2 linked regions of the Oryzias latipes genome follow. The protein of the gene in region 1 interacts with the protein of each later gene in a biochemical or structural test. Links are inferred from orthologs where the notes say so. Each region holds a gene or a part of one and is shown on either strand. Other genes may lie near its edges. The genes, in order: bad and pak1.

The links.
Region 2: of the proteins of bad (region 1) and pak1, one has a biochemical effect on the other in vitro, tested with the Homo sapiens proteins (3 studies listed by BioGRID). The link is inferred for Oryzias latipes from reciprocal best matches to the Homo sapiens genes BAD and PAK1.

The regions. Positions count from the first base shown.
Region 1 is NC_019876.2:12,863,115-12,872,646, reverse strand, and holds bad (bcl2-associated agonist of cell death), read right to left. Parts: upstream 4,775-9,532; 5' UTR 4,600-4,774; intron 4,272-4,599; 5' UTR 4,264-4,271; coding exon 4,116-4,263; intron 2,118-4,115; coding exon 1,903-2,117; intron 1,824-1,902; coding exon 1,692-1,823; 3' UTR 73-1,691; downstream 1-72. UniProt on the Homo sapiens protein: Promotes cell death. Successfully competes for the binding to Bcl-X(L), Bcl-2 and Bcl-W, thereby affecting the level of heterodimerization of these proteins with BAX. Can reverse the death repressor activity of Bcl-X(L), but not that of Bcl-2.
Region 2 is NC_019871.2:4,549,821-4,557,774, reverse strand, and holds the end of pak1 (serine/threonine-protein kinase PAK 1), read right to left. Parts: intron 7,514-7,954; coding exon 7,396-7,513; intron 5,709-7,395; coding exon 5,609-5,708; intron 5,510-5,608; coding exon 5,313-5,509; intron 4,537-5,312; coding exon 4,399-4,536; intron 3,855-4,398; coding exon 3,768-3,854; 3' UTR 981-3,767; downstream 1-980. UniProt on the Homo sapiens protein: Protein kinase involved in intracellular signaling pathways downstream of integrins and receptor-type kinases that plays an important role in cytoskeleton dynamics, in cell adhesion, migration, proliferation, apoptosis, mitosis, and in vesicle-mediated transport processes.

The sequences.
Region 1 (9,532 bases):
TAAACTTTTAAAGGGAAAGTTGTTTTTCATCAACATTTTTTAATAAATGTAAAAAAAAAAACTCATAAGAACCACTGTTAAAATCATTTATTAAAGACAGCAGAGGCTGGACAGCTGTAGAGAAAATACATAAAAAAAAAACAAAAATTATTCCAAAAAACAAACCACTTAATGTATTAAAATTGCATTTCTTCCCTTCTTAGACACACTCAAAAATTCAAGTAATACTAAGGATGGTTTCGGAAACTCCAGGCGCCCGCCAGCGCAGGTTCGGGCTTCGCCGCCCGCTAGAGAGCCGATCAAAAGTGTTTCCCTCGCCGTTGTGGCAGTGAACGCACCTCTGAGAGTTTGTGCTTTCCCGCTTCAGTGTCCCTATAAAGATTTAAGGCTGTGAAGTTCAAAAAGGCGCTTCATCTGACGCGACATTTCACCTCCCGAGAATAAACGCTTCACCCGAGAGCCACGAATAATCTCTACCAGCTCATGTGTACAAATATTTTCCTTTTAAGGAGGTGATTAGGAAATATTCGTAAAACAGAGAATAAACGTAGAAAAAACGTAGTGGCATTGAACACATCACAACAGCTGGGAACATTTTTAGAAAAATGCAGCACCGTTTTAGATTGTCTGGAGTTTATTTAGGGGAAAAAAGAAAAAAGCTCTACAAAGAGCTAACCCGAGTGATGGAACGTTGGCAAAGATGTCTGCGACCTTCCCGACTTTGAGGAAGACGGCGAGCAGAATAAACGAGAAACCGTTTTTAAAAGGTTTAAAGATCTCGGTTTCCTCAGAAAAACACACAAACGTCAAATCCAGCTGCAGCGATTGGATAAAAACTAGCCTTTTTGTTTGTTTACGGACTAAAAGATAACCTTCACATCCTAAAGCAGAGATCTGGGCATTGAAACCCTGTCCTTTATGGACCAAAAGTAGTTTGCTCCTCTTAAATAAGCCCTTCCTCTGGACCGGAGAGTTAACAGCAGTATAGTCGTCCTTCCTCACTCATCACAACAGCCGTGGATTGTACACAGCCTATTGCAGGGTTAGCCACGCCCACCGAACCTCTGATAATCTATTTAAAGCCCCTCCAGGCCCTTCCTGTCCTTTCATAAAAATATTCACAAAGTATTTACACTCGATGTTCTCGGATTTGTGCCTTTGATCGCAGGTTTGATGCGTCGATGTAACCCTGAAGATTTACCCAGAAAGCACTTGTGCATCGCTGAAGATTGTCCCACTGCGAGATTGTTCGGACGAGCCCAAATCGAGCACTTTGACCCTTTCCGTCTTCGCCATACGGAGATAAAAGACGCCCCCGTTCATCCGCAGGAGGAGGAGTTTTCACTTCTATCTCCTCTGACGGCCGGATGTCGGCGCCTTTTTTTTCTCCGCCTGCAGTAGATTGCTTATATTTGATGATAATTTCATTGTATACGCTGATGTGTCAAATGTCTAAATTCTCAGTCAAGTGGGCTTTTTTTTTTTTTAAAAAACATCACAGTCAAATACAAAGAAAGACAAAAATGTTTTAAAAGAAATGAGCGAGTTCAAAGATGGAGACCCGTTCAGCCCGGTCTTAGTGTTCCCATTCCTCTCGTATTTGAGTGGGTCGACCCCTCCTCTTGTGTAGATGCCCCCGTGGTTTCTGTCCTCCTCCGAGTCCTTCATCACAACAGTCTTCCTCTCCATCCTTACTCAGTGCGGTGGCTCTCGTGGTGGCTGTACTCTCCTTCCGCCTCCGGGTGGCTGAAGAGGTAGTTCCACCAGCTCGTGGAGTGGAGCATCTGTTTGGCCGCCCCAGTGCTCCTCACCTTCCTCATCTCCTGCACAAGGCAGATGTCACGTTCAAATCCGGGAAGCGACTCTCGTCTGCCGCCCCGCCCCCTCGCCACCCGCTCTTACCCCTTTATCCAGCAGGCTGTCAAACTCGTCGCTCATCCGTCGGAGCTGCTGACCGTACTTTTTGGCGGCCCACAGAGCCGGAGGGGCCGACTTGGATCTGCCCCTGAAGGCCAACCCATCAGTGGGGGTTCCGGCCTCGTCTTCCCGCGCGAGGTCCTCATCTCTGGAGTACGTGGAAGCGGTGGACTCTGAATTCAGCCTGGTACGCCCGTTACCTTTATGACAGGTAAGGACAAAATGTTAACGAACGTTGAAAAAGTACGGGTAACCTGGGAGACCTGAAGACAGAGGAAACACCCCTTCAAGGGTTCTGCTGTGTCTGAATTGCCACTTATGAGGGGAATCTACAATCCCAAAATGCATTGGGAGTTAGGCAGCAGTGAGGGAATTCGGCCTCATTTTCCCCTTTTTATGTTGCCTGTTAGTTTATAAAAAATGTAAAAAATAAAGTTTTGGTCAAATATAATGATGCTGCGCCATGAAACGTACGAGCTAAAAACATAAGGAAAATAACAATCAGACAAATAGTATCTGATGCCACGTTTGCCACGTCCCGTGAGGCTCCACTGATTCGTGCGCAAACACAGACAACCCGGTTCTGTTCCATTTTAAATCATTTCAAAAACTGTTAAATAGTGACTTTTTCTGCAGTTACTAGTCACTTTGTTGATTGTAGGCTACAGCTGCAGATGCTGACGGCTCCATCCTCAGAAGACTCCAACCAGAGGCCGTTGAACCCTTTAACGCCGCTGCTTTAGCTCTTTCGACGACCGTAATTCATTAAGCAGTCGCACAATTGACGTCACTTCAGCTGTTTCCGATGCATAGAAAAGCAGCCGTGCGAAACTTTACAGTAGTGAGCTGCTGATCGGTGCAAAGCTGCCTTTTTCTGCGTCAGAATCCGCAGTTTGAGCTGAATCGTGTGGACAGTCCAGAGAGTCTCACTGTCGACAGTTTCCATGCAGCAGCAGCTTCCAAAACAAAACAAGTCAAACTCTTTCTACTCAACTTGAGATTTAACGTTTTTGGGGTCGTGATCCCACTCTGTTACGCGGCTCATCTATCGCTGTCTCACTGTTTCGTGGATCTTTGTAGTGCAATTCAGTATGTGTATTGTTTTATACAGCACACTGCGTTCTGATTGGCTGTAGACCTTGTGGATCTCATTTGTGCCACAGTTACATCTTTGTTTTCATTCTATAATATTGGACTTATTTTCTACGAAGGCTTGAGATTTGAGAGTTAAAAAAAAGAGAGAAAAGTCTGGATATGAAAAGAATCAAACTTTATCGATATTTAGAATGTAACTCCATGATAAACAAGAAAACACTGTACTGACTGCACACAATCTCTGATTGTGTTCACATTTAGGTGAGACAGTGATTACCTTACCACTAGGAAAAGTTTTGTTCCCTTTTTGTTCTTCCAGCAGGTATTAGTTTCTCCTTCAGCGTCTATTTCTTTTTGTGTCATCTAAATGGCACTACAATTTAAACTGCATATTTATATTTCATAAATATAAAAAAAACAACAACAACGCTTTATTAAAGACAATGTTTATCCTTGAGAAAATTATCCATCCCCTATCAATGACAGCTTTTTCTATATGGGGTCCTAACAAAAACTGAAGTACAAGCCATTCACTGTATAGTGAGGAAATACCGTCCATCCAGCTCCAATGAAACAAAGTCAATGTCGTCGCCAAAATGTTGGCAATGCGTGGGACAATGTTAGTAAACTCTGATTGGTCTGAGTCAAAGTTTCTATGGAAACCACTCACCAATCAGGAGAGAGCTTGTTAAAGGTCTACAGCCCTATCATTTGGGAGAATCAGTCAGTGAAATGTTTGACATGAAACCACATGCTTTTATTGAGGCATCTGAAGGCTCAGATTATAACTGAAATAATTTGCACTATAGAAAAAAATATAATTATTAAAAAAAAGGATCATATAGAGTCAGCAATAGTTGATTATTTCGCAATAGAAGTCTATAAGACTTTGTCTTCTTGGAGCCAGCAGGGATTTCCTGTTTGGAACGTGAGGTGGGAGGGGTCGCTCAGTCCAGTTCTTGCATACAGTGACCCTATAAAACAGCTAACCGCTCCACCTCAGGATCCCAAAAAATCCGAATCCTGCTGCCTTAAGACTGGAATTTTCTCAAACAACTCTTAAAAGTGCTTCTCATTTCCCATAATGCTTTTGGTCTGCTTACTTGTGAGTCGAAGCTCTGGCAGGGTGAGGGAATGTCGATCATGAAGGTGCTCCCCTTCTCCTCCTGCTGCCGCTCCCAGGTCAAGTTTTCCTCCCTCTACCTCCTCGGATGACTCCGAATCGTCTGAGATGGTGAACTTTGCTGCCATCGTAACATCTGCAGAAAAAAAGGTGTTTTGAGGACACGTTGTTCCAATAATTCACTACCAGAGAAGCTTGATGATCATTTTAAACGAAGACCATCACAAATCAAATACTATTTTTCTTTCACATTTGAAGCCGAAATGAAATAGAAATTGAGCTAGGCCCAACTTTCCACTCCTAGAGTCATAAAATGTCTATTAGCTAAATGAATTATGTGTCTACCTGTAACACACCCAGCTGCCTATCAGTGGTTGAGTCCAAAGGTATTAAAAAAATAACAACTCCACGAGATAAGGACACAACTTTGACAGCACGCGCTTCGTTAAGATGTTATAACGTACTTTGTTTTTCGTAGTTCAACGCGCTCGCGAGCTGTGCTCTTCGTCGACACACTGCCTCGTTTGTTTTGTGTTGTTGTTGACCGAAGAGCAAGAGGACAAAAGAAACTTCATACAGGGCGGAAGCGGTCCCCTCCACCTTCCGCGCAGCTAAAGAGAACCTCCTGGAAGTAGTTTTTCTCACCCGAAATCTCTGCGGCGTCCGCTCCGGAGGTGGGAAAGAGTCTCCGAAGTTAGCTTCGAGCGGCAGAAACTGCTTGTTGTTAATGTTTTGGTGTTCTCTGCCCGCGGCACATTACACCCCTGCTCCGCTTTCGCCCAATCGCCGCGCGCCCCTGCACTTTCGCAGCGCGCTGACGTCACTGTTGCGAGCTAGGACTTGTTTGTCTGGTCTGGTTACCGTAATGACCAGAGAAGAAGCGCAGAACCAAAAAGCTCCTCATTTTCACCCCTCCCCCTTTTTTTCTGCCAAAACTCACGACGTCACAAGTTGAGTGCTGGCACTACTCGAGTCGCAGATTCTGTCTTCGGAGAGGAATAAAACAGGGGTGTACTGTCTCTGTATACCTGTTTCTTCTGGTTGCACACGTTTTCTGCAGATAAATAAAATTGAGAATATTGATGGGATTTCTATTGCTGGTAAAAACATTCTTGTAAGTCAACTGGCAGATGAATCATTATTCTTAAACTCCTCACAGGTTTCTTCAAGTTATAGAAACATTTTCAAAAGCATCAGGACCTATCTAAACCTAAAGAAATGTGAGTTATTTCCTCTTAAACAATGTGCTCTAACATCCATAAATAGTATAGTAGTCAAAGAAAAAGTCACATATTTGGGATTGCAGATAACTAAAGAACAAAAACAAAGAGAACTGAATAACTATAATCCTATGATTGCAAAAGCACAAAATAAGTTTAATCGCTGGCTACAAAAAGGTCACGTCCTCTTAGCAAAAGCAGAAGGAATTTCCAGACTAGTCTACATTGTTTCCTCACTATCTCTGGACAGTTGTTTCACTTTCGGCTTGTCCCATCAGGGGTCGCCACAGCGAATCAGCCACTTCACAGTGGAAGATTCGCATGGTAGTCTTGGCAATGTTTTACGCCGGATGCCCTTCCTGACGCAACCCTCTCAAAGCAACCGGGCTTGGGACAGGTACAGAAGTAGAGAAGGGAAGAGGGTAAAAATGCAAAAAGGATTGATCAGATACTTTTTAACTTCCTTTGGAGAAATAGAATCCACTATGTACGATAATCAGTAGTAATTAATTCATCAAAAGACGGAGGACTTGACTTTCTTAACTTTTCCATTCTAAGTAATGTCATCAAAATGAAATGGTTAAAAAAACTTCTTAAAAAGTGAAACCTCATTTTAGAATTTCATATAAAAATACATATTTGATAAGCTTGGAGGTCTGCCATTTATTTTATTATGTAATTTAATAATGGAAAAAAATCCTTTAAAACTGTCTAATTTTCATAAGCAGGTTTTATTGGCATAGACTTTGATCTACAAACATAATTTTTCTACTCAGCGCTACTATATTTGGAACAATGCAGATATTCTATACAAAAACAAGAGTATTTGTCTTGAAAATTAGTTTGAAAAGAACATTTCTCTTGTGACACAGCTGATTAATCCACAAGGTAACCTGATGTCATACATTGAGTTTCTGTCCACCAATAGTCTGCATGTTTCACCTGCAGAGTTTGCATTGGTTACTGGAGCCATTCCAGGGGGTGTTAGACTTCTGTGTAGCAGTTCTCCTTCAAATACTCCATTTTCTCCTCCCAAATTAACAGAATTGTGGTGTTTTTCAGCTGGCAGGAATAATCAAAGTATCCGTTCTCTGTTTTAAAATGAGATTGCGACAAAACCGCATGTTATCTCATACTGGAATAGGTTTGGCTGTAGAATGCAGTGGGAAAAGTTTTCCATGCCCCAAAATGTTATCACCAATGAAATTAAAGAAATTTCTTTTAAAATTCTTCATAAATTTTATCCAGTGAAACATTTCTTTACTAAATTTAGAAAAGATCGGGACATAAACTGTTCATTTTGTCATTTCTCACCAGAAACTGTGCCTCATCTTTTTTGGTATTGCTCCTTCACTCAAGTATTTTGGAAAGATTTGATACATTTTATAAGAACTCATCTATGTGAAGATTATAGATTATTCTATGAGCATATTATTTTTGGATATTTTACACAAGGGGGATTAAATGCAGAGAAAATATATGTAGTCAATTTACTTATACTAAATATTTTATACACATGTGTAAATATGCTAACAAAACCCAGTATTTTATGTTTTCCAGAAAGAAATGGTACTGTATGTAAACAGAATCAAATCCTCCACTAACAAAAAAGCTGTTAGAACAGTTGAAACATAGTGCCTTTGAAACTTTAACAGATTCCTTTGCCTTTATTATTTTTTTTTATTTTTACTTAACCTGTTTCACATTGTTATTATTATGGTTTTTTGAATTTTTGTTCATTTTCCTGGCAAACGTGAAAATTGTTTTTTGAACACAGTGTGGAGTTTTGTATTTGGTATATTGTATGTGCAATATTTGTTAATAATTTTTTTTTTTTTTTAAAACTCACGTCACTTTGGCTAGCACTGAACCCTCATAAAACCATTAACTTAAAATTAACTACCGGTATGTAATAAAAACGTAATTACAACGACATACTTTTCATTTCTTCATGTAGAACAGAAAATAAGCTAAATACATTTTTACCCAACTTTCTGCGAATTTCATATTAAAAGACTATGAAACATTCTGTACCAGCTAGCTTGACATAGTTAGCATGACTCATGAATCTTGTAGTGCATCTAGATATTGAACTCCTTGAAAACAACCAGTTCTGGGCATATAAGGTAGACACGGATATTTATATATATTAAATATACATATTTAATTTACAGTTGACATTTTAGAAATGAGCTAGAAAGTGTCACAAAAGGGTCCCACAGATTTTTAATTGCTTTTGACATAATTTAGCCCATAAAATTTAGAAAATCGTACTCACCGTTTTTAGAAAGTGTTGCAAGACGCAAATAATTGACAAGAGCCTGTGGGCGGCGGAAATTTTAACAGAGGCCACATTTGGCCTATGGGCCAGACTTTGGACATGCCTGGTTTAGACACATTAGCAGAAACAAGTAAACTGTTTTTTTTAATTTAATATATTTTTTTCTATTGACATTATAACACAATGAAACAAACAATCTCTTACAGAGGATATTACCCTTGTACGGGTTGGACAAAAGTTAGAACAATTTGAAACTAGAGGTCAATAAACAAACAAAGTTCTTAGTACTAAGACTTGTGCGGCACACAAACTTAAGAAGATCTCTGAAGACAAATGAACCAGAGTTTTTTCCATTATCAAATTCTTGAGATGTTTGTAAACCTGTAAGACCTGTTTCTTCTCCCAGCGATAAGATTGTTTGATGAAAACTGGTATTGTGCAGTCCAAGATACCAACCACCTGAATGAGACCATGTGACCATGCAGAACAAGGGGAGTAAAACTTGTTGTCCACCTTTCGGCATATCCCATCAGGGCTTCCACAGCGAATCAGCTTTCCATGATTCGCATTGGCAGAGATTTTTTCGCTAGATGACCTTTCTGACACAACCCTACATTTTCATCGGGCTGGGGACCGGCAGAGGGAGACCCAGACTTGGGCCCCCTTGTTGCTACATAGACAGTAGTGCGAAAGGTCTTGCCCAAGGACTGAATGGTAAAACATTTTAATGAAAACACTTCTCTGGACTCTTTTCTCAAAAATGAAATGAGACGTATGCAACAACAGACGTGTTTAAAAAAAGTTACTGCAGCCCAAGCACCTTAAAGTCCCACTCCGGTCTTCTTCTGATCTATTGTAAAAGCGTTTCCAGTGTTTTATTTCCCATTATGATGATGCTGTTTTTACCCCAAAACAAAAAATACTTTGTCGTTTTCTTGGACATAGTTTATCCAGGGCGGCAGTAGTTGATTAGAAATGTATATTTTGATTGTGGTTGTGCCAACATTCCCAACCACAACCAGAGAGCTCTCACAACCCGTTGCTGAGAGCTCTCTGTTTACGTCAGGGGTCAGGGGACTCGCTGCCCTCGGGCTATTTGCGGCCTCCAAGATGATATTTTGCGACCCCCGCCTTAATATGAAAGTTTAATGTGAGTGCGTCCCGCCAGTTTTTTTATAAATGACACTTTTTCAGTGTTGTACGCGGAGCTGACGAACCAACCAATCACAGTGGGGTATATGATTCTTGAGGGCGTGACATTGAACAGGCTTGAAGCAGGGAAGGCGGGAAACCTGACAGCCCCCTCCCCAGACCGCATTAAGGAGTTCCTTTTGTTTCCTTTTTAGAAAGTGTGTTTTCGCTCATAATTTTCTAAATACATGCAGCCAGTGCTGAACTTTTTCTGGGCCGCACAGACCCGGAGGAGGGTTAAGGTTATGGATACGCGCGGCTGCGTATATTAACCCGTAACCCAGAGGTCGGTAACCTGTACATCTCAAAGAGCCATTTGCATCAGTTTCCCACTGAGATGAAAGCACAGGGAGCTGTGTGCTAAAATGATTCAACAGGAGTTATGCAGAAAAAAATGTGGATGGGCCGACACTTTCCCACAAGACCTTTGGTCCCAGTGGAAAAAATGGCTTGAAGAATTAGCTCTACTGTCCACATTTGAAGTGAGAAGGTGCATCAAGCCAGTGGGATTTGAAAAAATCAAATGTGCACAATTGCACCATTTTGCAGATGCCAGTGAACGTGGATATGGGACAGTAACCTACATCACAAGTGGAAGACTGTGCAAAGGAGCAATGCCTGAAGAAAGCAAGCATCCTCTTATGCTTTCTAAGGACCAGCATATCTCTCTGCTCATTCTGAAACACACACATCAACGTCTTGGTC
Region 2 (7,954 bases), on another chromosome or scaffold:
TATAATTTATTTTTTTATGTTTCAGTTGTTTCAAAAACTAAAAAAAAAAAAAAAAAAAAATACATTAAAGGAAATGATACAAACAGACATTATGGCTCTGGTACAATAAATGGAGAAGAGGGGATCAGCCCGGACACAGAGGTCACTGAACCGCACACTTCCAGTGAGAATCCCGCCTTAAGCTGCTCGGAAAAGCGTTTCCTCGTGAAAAGGCTTTATGGGCTTTTCACTGTAAGGAAACGGAGGCGTGACAAAGATTGTGCAACATTATAAAGCCGGCAGCCATTTTTGTTTTGTCTTTTTCCAAAAGAGATCAAACACCTAAACGATGGGGGGGGTTTGAGCCTTTCTTTCTTTTCCACAAACGGGTTCAAATGTTCTGATTACACTTAGTGCAAACATCGTCCACTGTGTGTTAGACATCAGTGTTTTTACAGAAAGAAATCCAACATGACAGAAAAAAAAAAAAGAGGATTTTTGACTAATGTGAACGTTAAGGATTTTTTTAAGCATCACAGTCATCCTAAGGCGTTTAAAAAGTACCATTCTTGTGCTTTCCATTGACCTTTTCATGTAGGGCAGCTTTTCCTAACATTTATACCTGATGTCAGTCTAATGTGGGAACCGGGCGTCGTTTGTCTCTGAGCCGGGGGGGTTTGTGTGTTCATAAAGGTTTCATTGAAGGATGCTAACGCTCACAGCTTCAGAGTTCCTCAGACAGCGTTTGCAGTTTCAACCAATCGAGGAACTGGACTGTGCTTCTCCTTTAACGCTGAAGTGAGAAAAATCCTCTTCAAACCAGCTCAGTGTTTTACTTTTGGGGCATTTTCCAATCATTTTGATTTTCAAAGGCTGTAATGGGAAAAACAAAACCAAAAAAAAGACTTTAAAGTCCCACTACTATGAAAGTTGTGTTTTTAACACATTCTTATGGCATCTTTTTTGATTCGAGACACTTACACAGAAAATTAAGCTTGAAATTCTGCTTCACAGTATTTCTTTATTTAAATCGTTGTGAATCAAAAAAAGATGAAAAAAGATTGTTTGCAGAAAATAAGCTGAGCGGGCCTCAAACTGCCTGCTCTGAGCTCTCAGCAACAGTGATGGGAAGTGGGGGCGGAGTTGCTTCACAGCAACTACCCATCGGGGAATTTTTTAATGAACTCCAGCCGCTCTGCAGAAACTTTGTCCTAGAAAATGACACAGTTTTTTAAAATTTAGGCTCAAAACAGCATAATCCTAATCAAAAGGACACTGGGGACACTTTGAAATTAGATCCAAAGATGATCGGAGTGGGACTTTAAAATCAAATCAAATCAAATAAAATATTGCAGTGTATCACAACCATCAGACTGTTACAAAAGCAGTATTGCACCTTTGACACAGTTTAAGGCCAGAGTCACATAGTCACTACAATAAACAACAACAAAATCTTTAACAAACCTTTAAAAGTAGAAATCAAAGTGACAGTTTTAGTCTTTGTTTTCCAGAAAAGAACAAAAAAAAAAGCTTTTTGACGACAACCAGAAGCGCAGTCCTTAAGGAAAAACTGGGAAAAGACGGATTTATTTTGTTCTTTAGCACAGAAAATAAACAGATTGTGTTCACGGGGCTCCAGGCCAAAAAAACCAACAACAACAACAACACAGTGCCTTCATCGTTTTCTCAAGTTTCTTCTGAAAATAGGATGAAGTTGTGTTTTCCCCCATCGTACACCAGTCTCTTTCATTTCCATTGTAGGGCTTTCATACTTGACTTTGCGTTTCCTCTTAAGCATACCGTATAAAAAGGTTTTCATGCACATTCTCGTCATCACAGCTTCTCAACGAGCCCACAGACTGTGACGTCCCAGAGCCGCAGATGGAGCCAGCTTGACAGTACCCCCCCCCTAAACCTCATTTTCCTCCTTCATTCAGATATTAACCTTTTTAATGCGGCGCCTGACAGGCAGGGCGCCCTGCACCTCGGCGAGCCCATTTCACATCACAGAGCTTTAAATAACACGACTTTTCATCCGGAGGATAAGTCGAGCTCAATCGCTTGACAGTTACATTATGAAAATGTTTGGAATTTGTTTCCATTTTCCAGAATAATTAAGGGAAACCAGATTAAAGTTCACATCATTCATATCTACCTCAAACAGATGAAGCTTCTCATTAAAGCAAAAGTGGGAAACTGAGCTGAGCCATTAAATGCTGAAACAAGCCCAAAACGAGGCCGGCCTTTTATTTAAAGCAGCACAAATGTGACGCAGAGCAGCCGGATAAATGCGTTTATCAGTGTTCACATGTCAGGCAGACAGGACGTCATCATCAGAGTGAGATGTGATCTCTCGGGGAGCGAAGGAAACTGCTCCTGGTCTGTCAGATCCTGTCAGTTTGGTTCTGTTTATCGCGGATCAATCAGGTGTCTGCCGCAGGAAAAAAACGCAAACGCAGCTTCACAATGAAAAACCTTTGAGGGACAGAAAGATCCACAGCGCAGGACTCTAACATAAAAGAAAAGGGGGAAATATCCTCTGCCTACCGCCTTTTTACCACGCCACAAACAAAGATATGGAATTAAAGACAAACTACATAAAAAATGACCAAAAGTTGATTTTTTTTTTTACTTTTCTTTAACCAAAACGCACAGAGAACAAAGCTGTTCAACTTTTTAATTTGATGATGTTATTAGTATCTGTTTCTATCAAAAGTCATAACACAAAACTACAAATAAAAACAAAAAGTACATTTATCGCGAAATACTAAAAAGGCTATTTTAATGGATCACTAAAAAAAAGCAAAAACAAATGCAGAACCTAACATATTGACCCCAATGAGCAAAAGTAACCTTAGATGATCGGAACTCATTACAATTCAATGCTGTTTCAGGTTTCTGCAAGGATATTCACAATTACTATTTCATATTTTTTAGGTATTGGCTGAATGCCGTAGGTGTTTTTAAGTCAATGTGTCACTGGAGGAATCATCTTATTACCTAAAATACTACACAAAAAGCTTTGTTTTTGGTTGAACTTACTGATATCCATTTGAATCATTTTATTTGTCTTTTTTTTTCTAGAAATCCTCTTAAAAACATTTAAAAATGACTTTAAATCAGCTTTTCACACTGACCTCCCAAAAGCCAGCATTTTTCCTGATCCAGAGGATTCTGAAGAGGATAAAGGCCTCAGCCTATAAAATTGAGCAAAACTGCCCTAAAAACCCCCATCTGCCCAAAAAAAACCCCATCCGCCCCCTCTGTGAGCAGCGCCGAGATTCTATGTCCAAACTCCATCCATCAGTGGCTCTGGGCGCAGCCGCGTTCAGACAAAACTAAACCTCTCCGGATATACACCTAAACCTACAGGAGGTGATGCTGCGGGCAGCAAGGGACCAACACGTGCGTTACCGTGACAACAGATAAAAGTACCTACAGCTTCACCGACTAAAAGCTCTCGCACACGCACACGTAAAGGCTGGCTGTGCTGGACCGGGACGCCGTTTCACTTCTTTGGGCTCCGTTGAGATGTTCTGTTCCACAGCGATCTGAAGTTCATCCTTCGTTCTCCCCAGGAGATGTGCAGGAGGGGGGGGGGTCAAGACTCAGGGGTCAAAGGTAAGAGTGGAGGAAAATAACAGTCGAAGCAACTTTACAAAAAACAAAGACGGAAGGCGTTTGAAGAACGTCATAATCCAGCCAGAAGCACATACAACGCCACCTTCCTGTGAACGACGCCGGACGCCAGGAGGAGGTGGGGGAGAAAAACAAAGCTAGCTAGCTAGCTAGCGGTTGTTCTTGGCTGCCTCCTTGGCTGCGAGAATCAGGGGGGTGAGGCTGGAAAGAGGCTTCGCCATCTTCAGAAACTGATGCTGTGAGAAGAACACCGGGAACCCAGGGAGGGCAAAGGTGGTGAAAGGAGTCGGGGCGCAAAGGATGAAAGGATGCAGGAAGGGGGGGAGAAAGAGAAGAGATAAAACAGCAGGTTGATCAAGGGTCTGTGAGATATGAAGCTAAAGAAATATTAAAATATATAAATGGTCAAATACTACAATAGGAAAATTGTAATTTAATTTATTATAATAAGTATATGTGCTGAATTTCAGGTAAATAAATTAGCTCATTAAAATTTTTAAACAGAAATTATTTGTCAAAATAGTTTCATGATCAACATTGATCTCTTGTGTAAGTGTGCTGGAATCCTCTATAACAATCTTAATGTTCTGCTTTCTTTTATTTTACTTCAAGTCTTTTTTTAAACATTTTCATTTATTAAAAGTGTAAAATGACCGATATGTTTTTCTTAAGGCCTTAAAATGGTGACAGTGGAGCGTATTTGACTAAACTTTGGTCCGTTTCATAACATTTCTGTTTGTTTCTGTACTGTGAAAAAGGATTTTCTTAGCGCGGGTTTACCTGCAGGAGCTCTTTAGCAGAGCCTCTCTTCTCCACGTCCATCTCCAGACATCGGTTTAAGAAGTCTCTGAATATCGTTGACAGCTTCTCTGGATTCTGCAGCTCTGGGGTCCCGTTGGTTGCAATAAGATAAAGCGCCTGCAAAACAGAAAAAAGGATATTTTCCTCCCTTAGAGAGCTGGACAGTGAAAAAGAGATCCAGAGAGGTGCTTTGGTGCCATCTAGTGGCAGTTTAAGAGGCAGAAATCCCACAAAAACTACCCTTAAGGTCACAGTGTTCTTCAGCATGTCCATCGTAACGAATAAAGCGTTTTTATTTTGAATTTCAAACTGCAAAAATGGCATATGCATATTGTTATATATGCATATATTATGTATACTTCTAATTTTGGCTAATGAATCACTTATTAGCTGTTTAGACGTTTTTGTTTTGAGGATTCTGGTCTGTACCAACCCCCTAAAGGAAGCGCTGATAGGCATAAAAATAGGATTTAGAATCATTTTTTTAGGACAAAAGTTATTAAATGCTTAAAAATAAAATAAACCAGATAACAAGTAACAATTTTCAATCAAAATATGTAAGAATAAAACAGTCAGATCCAGACATAAAGCCCTCAGTGCAGCTAAAAGCGAGTTAAACAAAACCTCACAACGATGCTGATTTACAAACTCCTAAACCAAAACCAGAAGAAAGTGTTGACTAACCTCAAATGGACTTACAGAAGATTAAAAATCTTTCTGGTTAACATAAATAAAAATCCTAAAAGTGAAAAAAGAAAACGTTTGAAGACTCTCCTTCATCCAGGATGGATCCATAGCAGAAAGAAAGATTTAAAAAGAATCCATCAGGATTTAGCTTTTTAGGTTGAAGACGAAAACCTTTTTGTTTAAAAAAAAAAATCAATCAAACTCACTCTAAGAGGATTCTCATTTAAGTATGGTGGCTCTCCTTCAACCATCTCGATGGCCATGATGCCCAAAGACCAAATGTCCACTTTGGGGCAGTACGCTTTGCGAGTCACGACCTCCGGAGCCATCCAGTATGGAGTCCCCACCATGGTGCTGCGCTTGCTCTGCTCCGGCGTGATCTGAGCGCAGAAGCCAAAGTCAGCTGGAAGAGGCGAAAGGAGAAGAATTAGTGAGTTCACCTTTTGGAGAACAAATCTGCTGTTTATTCTGGAACAGATCTAGAAACCAAAAGGCCACTGACTGAGTTTGACAGAGCCGTCCATGCCCAGCAGGATGTTGTCGCTCTTGATGTCCCGATGGATGACCTGGTTGGAGTGAAGGAACTCCAGGGCCTGAAGACACTGAACAGGAAGTAGAGTAACCCTCCTACCCATGAGGCACCAAAACAACAAACACTTTTGATAGTAAAGCCTTAGACACATGCACCCAAACAGGGTCGTTGACCCTTAAGCTATGTTCACACCGGGCATGTGATTCGCGTTCTTGAACACGTGTTTAGCATCTGGTGTTCACACTGGACGAGCAGGGGGGGGCTTCTTCTTTTCCTAATGCTTACCAGTGCATGTCCAAATGTGGAAAAGCTGCAAATCTGGTGAATTTTGCTCGAGGCCTTTTATTTCACAGCTCCATTCCGATATATATGAAACACTATGTGTGATAGAATTTCAACCAGACACAAACCACAATTATTGATTTCTCCTCCAGGTTGACATTTTTAGGAATTCAAGAGGATGTCCTCCATGCGTCACTACCAAATCCGAGTTCCTGATTGGTCAAAGTTCGACTTGGTTCAACTGTACTAAGATTGTGTGTTTTGTATGTAGAGGCCGAAAAACAGTCATAGAAACATGAATGGGAAAGTTTCAAACGCAGAAGCCCGAAATGCGCATAGACGCCCGTTTACATAGACTCTTTAATAGAAGTGGGCGCTTGAACGCACGTTGCTGAGGGTGGTGAGACCGTAGCTTCGCGGATGTTGTGCGTTTTGGGGGTTTTTCGGGGCCGTGGAGGGTCATAGACAGGAGTGGCTGCACCTCGAGAGATGTCGTGAAAATGGAACGTTCCATTGTCGTACGTGTGGTAAATTTATCGCAAATTATTTTCAAGGATAATGTAAGCGACATGCACTTATGATGCTGTCGTACAGCGCCCTTACGCCACACTCTTGTTGTTAGAAAAGTGCACTCCTAATTAACAGCGCGGAAATACTGCACGAGCGGGTGTGCACGTGATATGCAAGTGGCTGTAGGACCCTCGTGGAACGCCTACAAAAACTTCGCTGTAATTACTAAATCGTAACTGTCAAACTGCATCACAAGGAGCGCATGCCCAACCACGTGAACAGCACCAACGGGCTTCCTGCTCAGTATGCAGGATTTGGGGGAGGGGGTTGAAAAAAATGTAAAAATCCATGCGGCAAGCCTGCGTCTCACCTACTTCATCCTTACGAGTTGTCTAAGTGTTCATTCTAACCTGCTGCCCACAGCGTGTCCATAACATGAACAGCATGTCATTTTGGCCCTACAGGTTCACTGAGTGCTCTACGACAGCCGGTATTCACCCCCAAGGGCAGTTGTGACTGAAGCTATGTCCCTGTTGCCCTCAGCAACGTGCTTTCAAGCGGCCACTTTAAAGGAAAAGTGCTTAAAATGCGCTCAATAGTCATGTTCATCTAAACAAAGACGACCTTTGACCAATCAGGGACTTGGATTTGGTAGTGGTTTGTGGCACGACGCCCCCTTTTAATTCCTGAAGTACCAATCATTGGAAAGTTGATCACGGAGGAGAAATTAATAATCGCGGTTTGTGTCCGGCCAGAATTATACAACACCAAGTCTTTTATAAAATGGAATAGAGCGGTTAAAGAAAAAGCCTGGAGCAAAATTCACCAGGTTTGCACAGCAGAAGCCCCTCCCAGCTTGTCCAGTGTGAACACTGTGGGCTAAATGTGAGTTCCTGAAGGCATGTGACTGTAGCTTAAGCCTTAAGGAGGTCCATCAAAATAAAGATGAGCTCCACTTGTCCTACCTCTCTGCACACAGCGGCTATCTGGGCTTCATCCATGCAGGTTTCTGTGACGACATCCGTCAGAGATCCTCCTGCCAGATACTCCATGACAACCCAGAGCTCATCACCCACCAGGTAACTAGAACCAACAACAGGAACATTTTTATCAGGATTTTCATCCTCATTTTTGATTAGACCTCCGAAGGAATAAACTTGGAAGTTGGCACAAGAGTAAAAAACAAAAACAAACTTTCTTTAAAATGCGTGAACATCAATGATGGTAAAACAGAAGGGGTTGAGGCGATGCTGTCAGTTCTACGCTGTAAATGTTTGCAAACTTCAGAAACAAACAACGTGGGCAAAAAGAACCAATATCAGAAATACTTGTACCCACAAAAATATTGATAATTGAAAAAACAACAACATACATACCAAGCAATTGCAATTAAAATAACACAAACATGAAACAAATGATTATAATTAAATGTAAAGAAGATGTAGATGTAACACTTACTATAGATGACATAACAGGGATACATAATTTATTCAACTTTGAATTGGATCGGCTTTTTTAACCGAT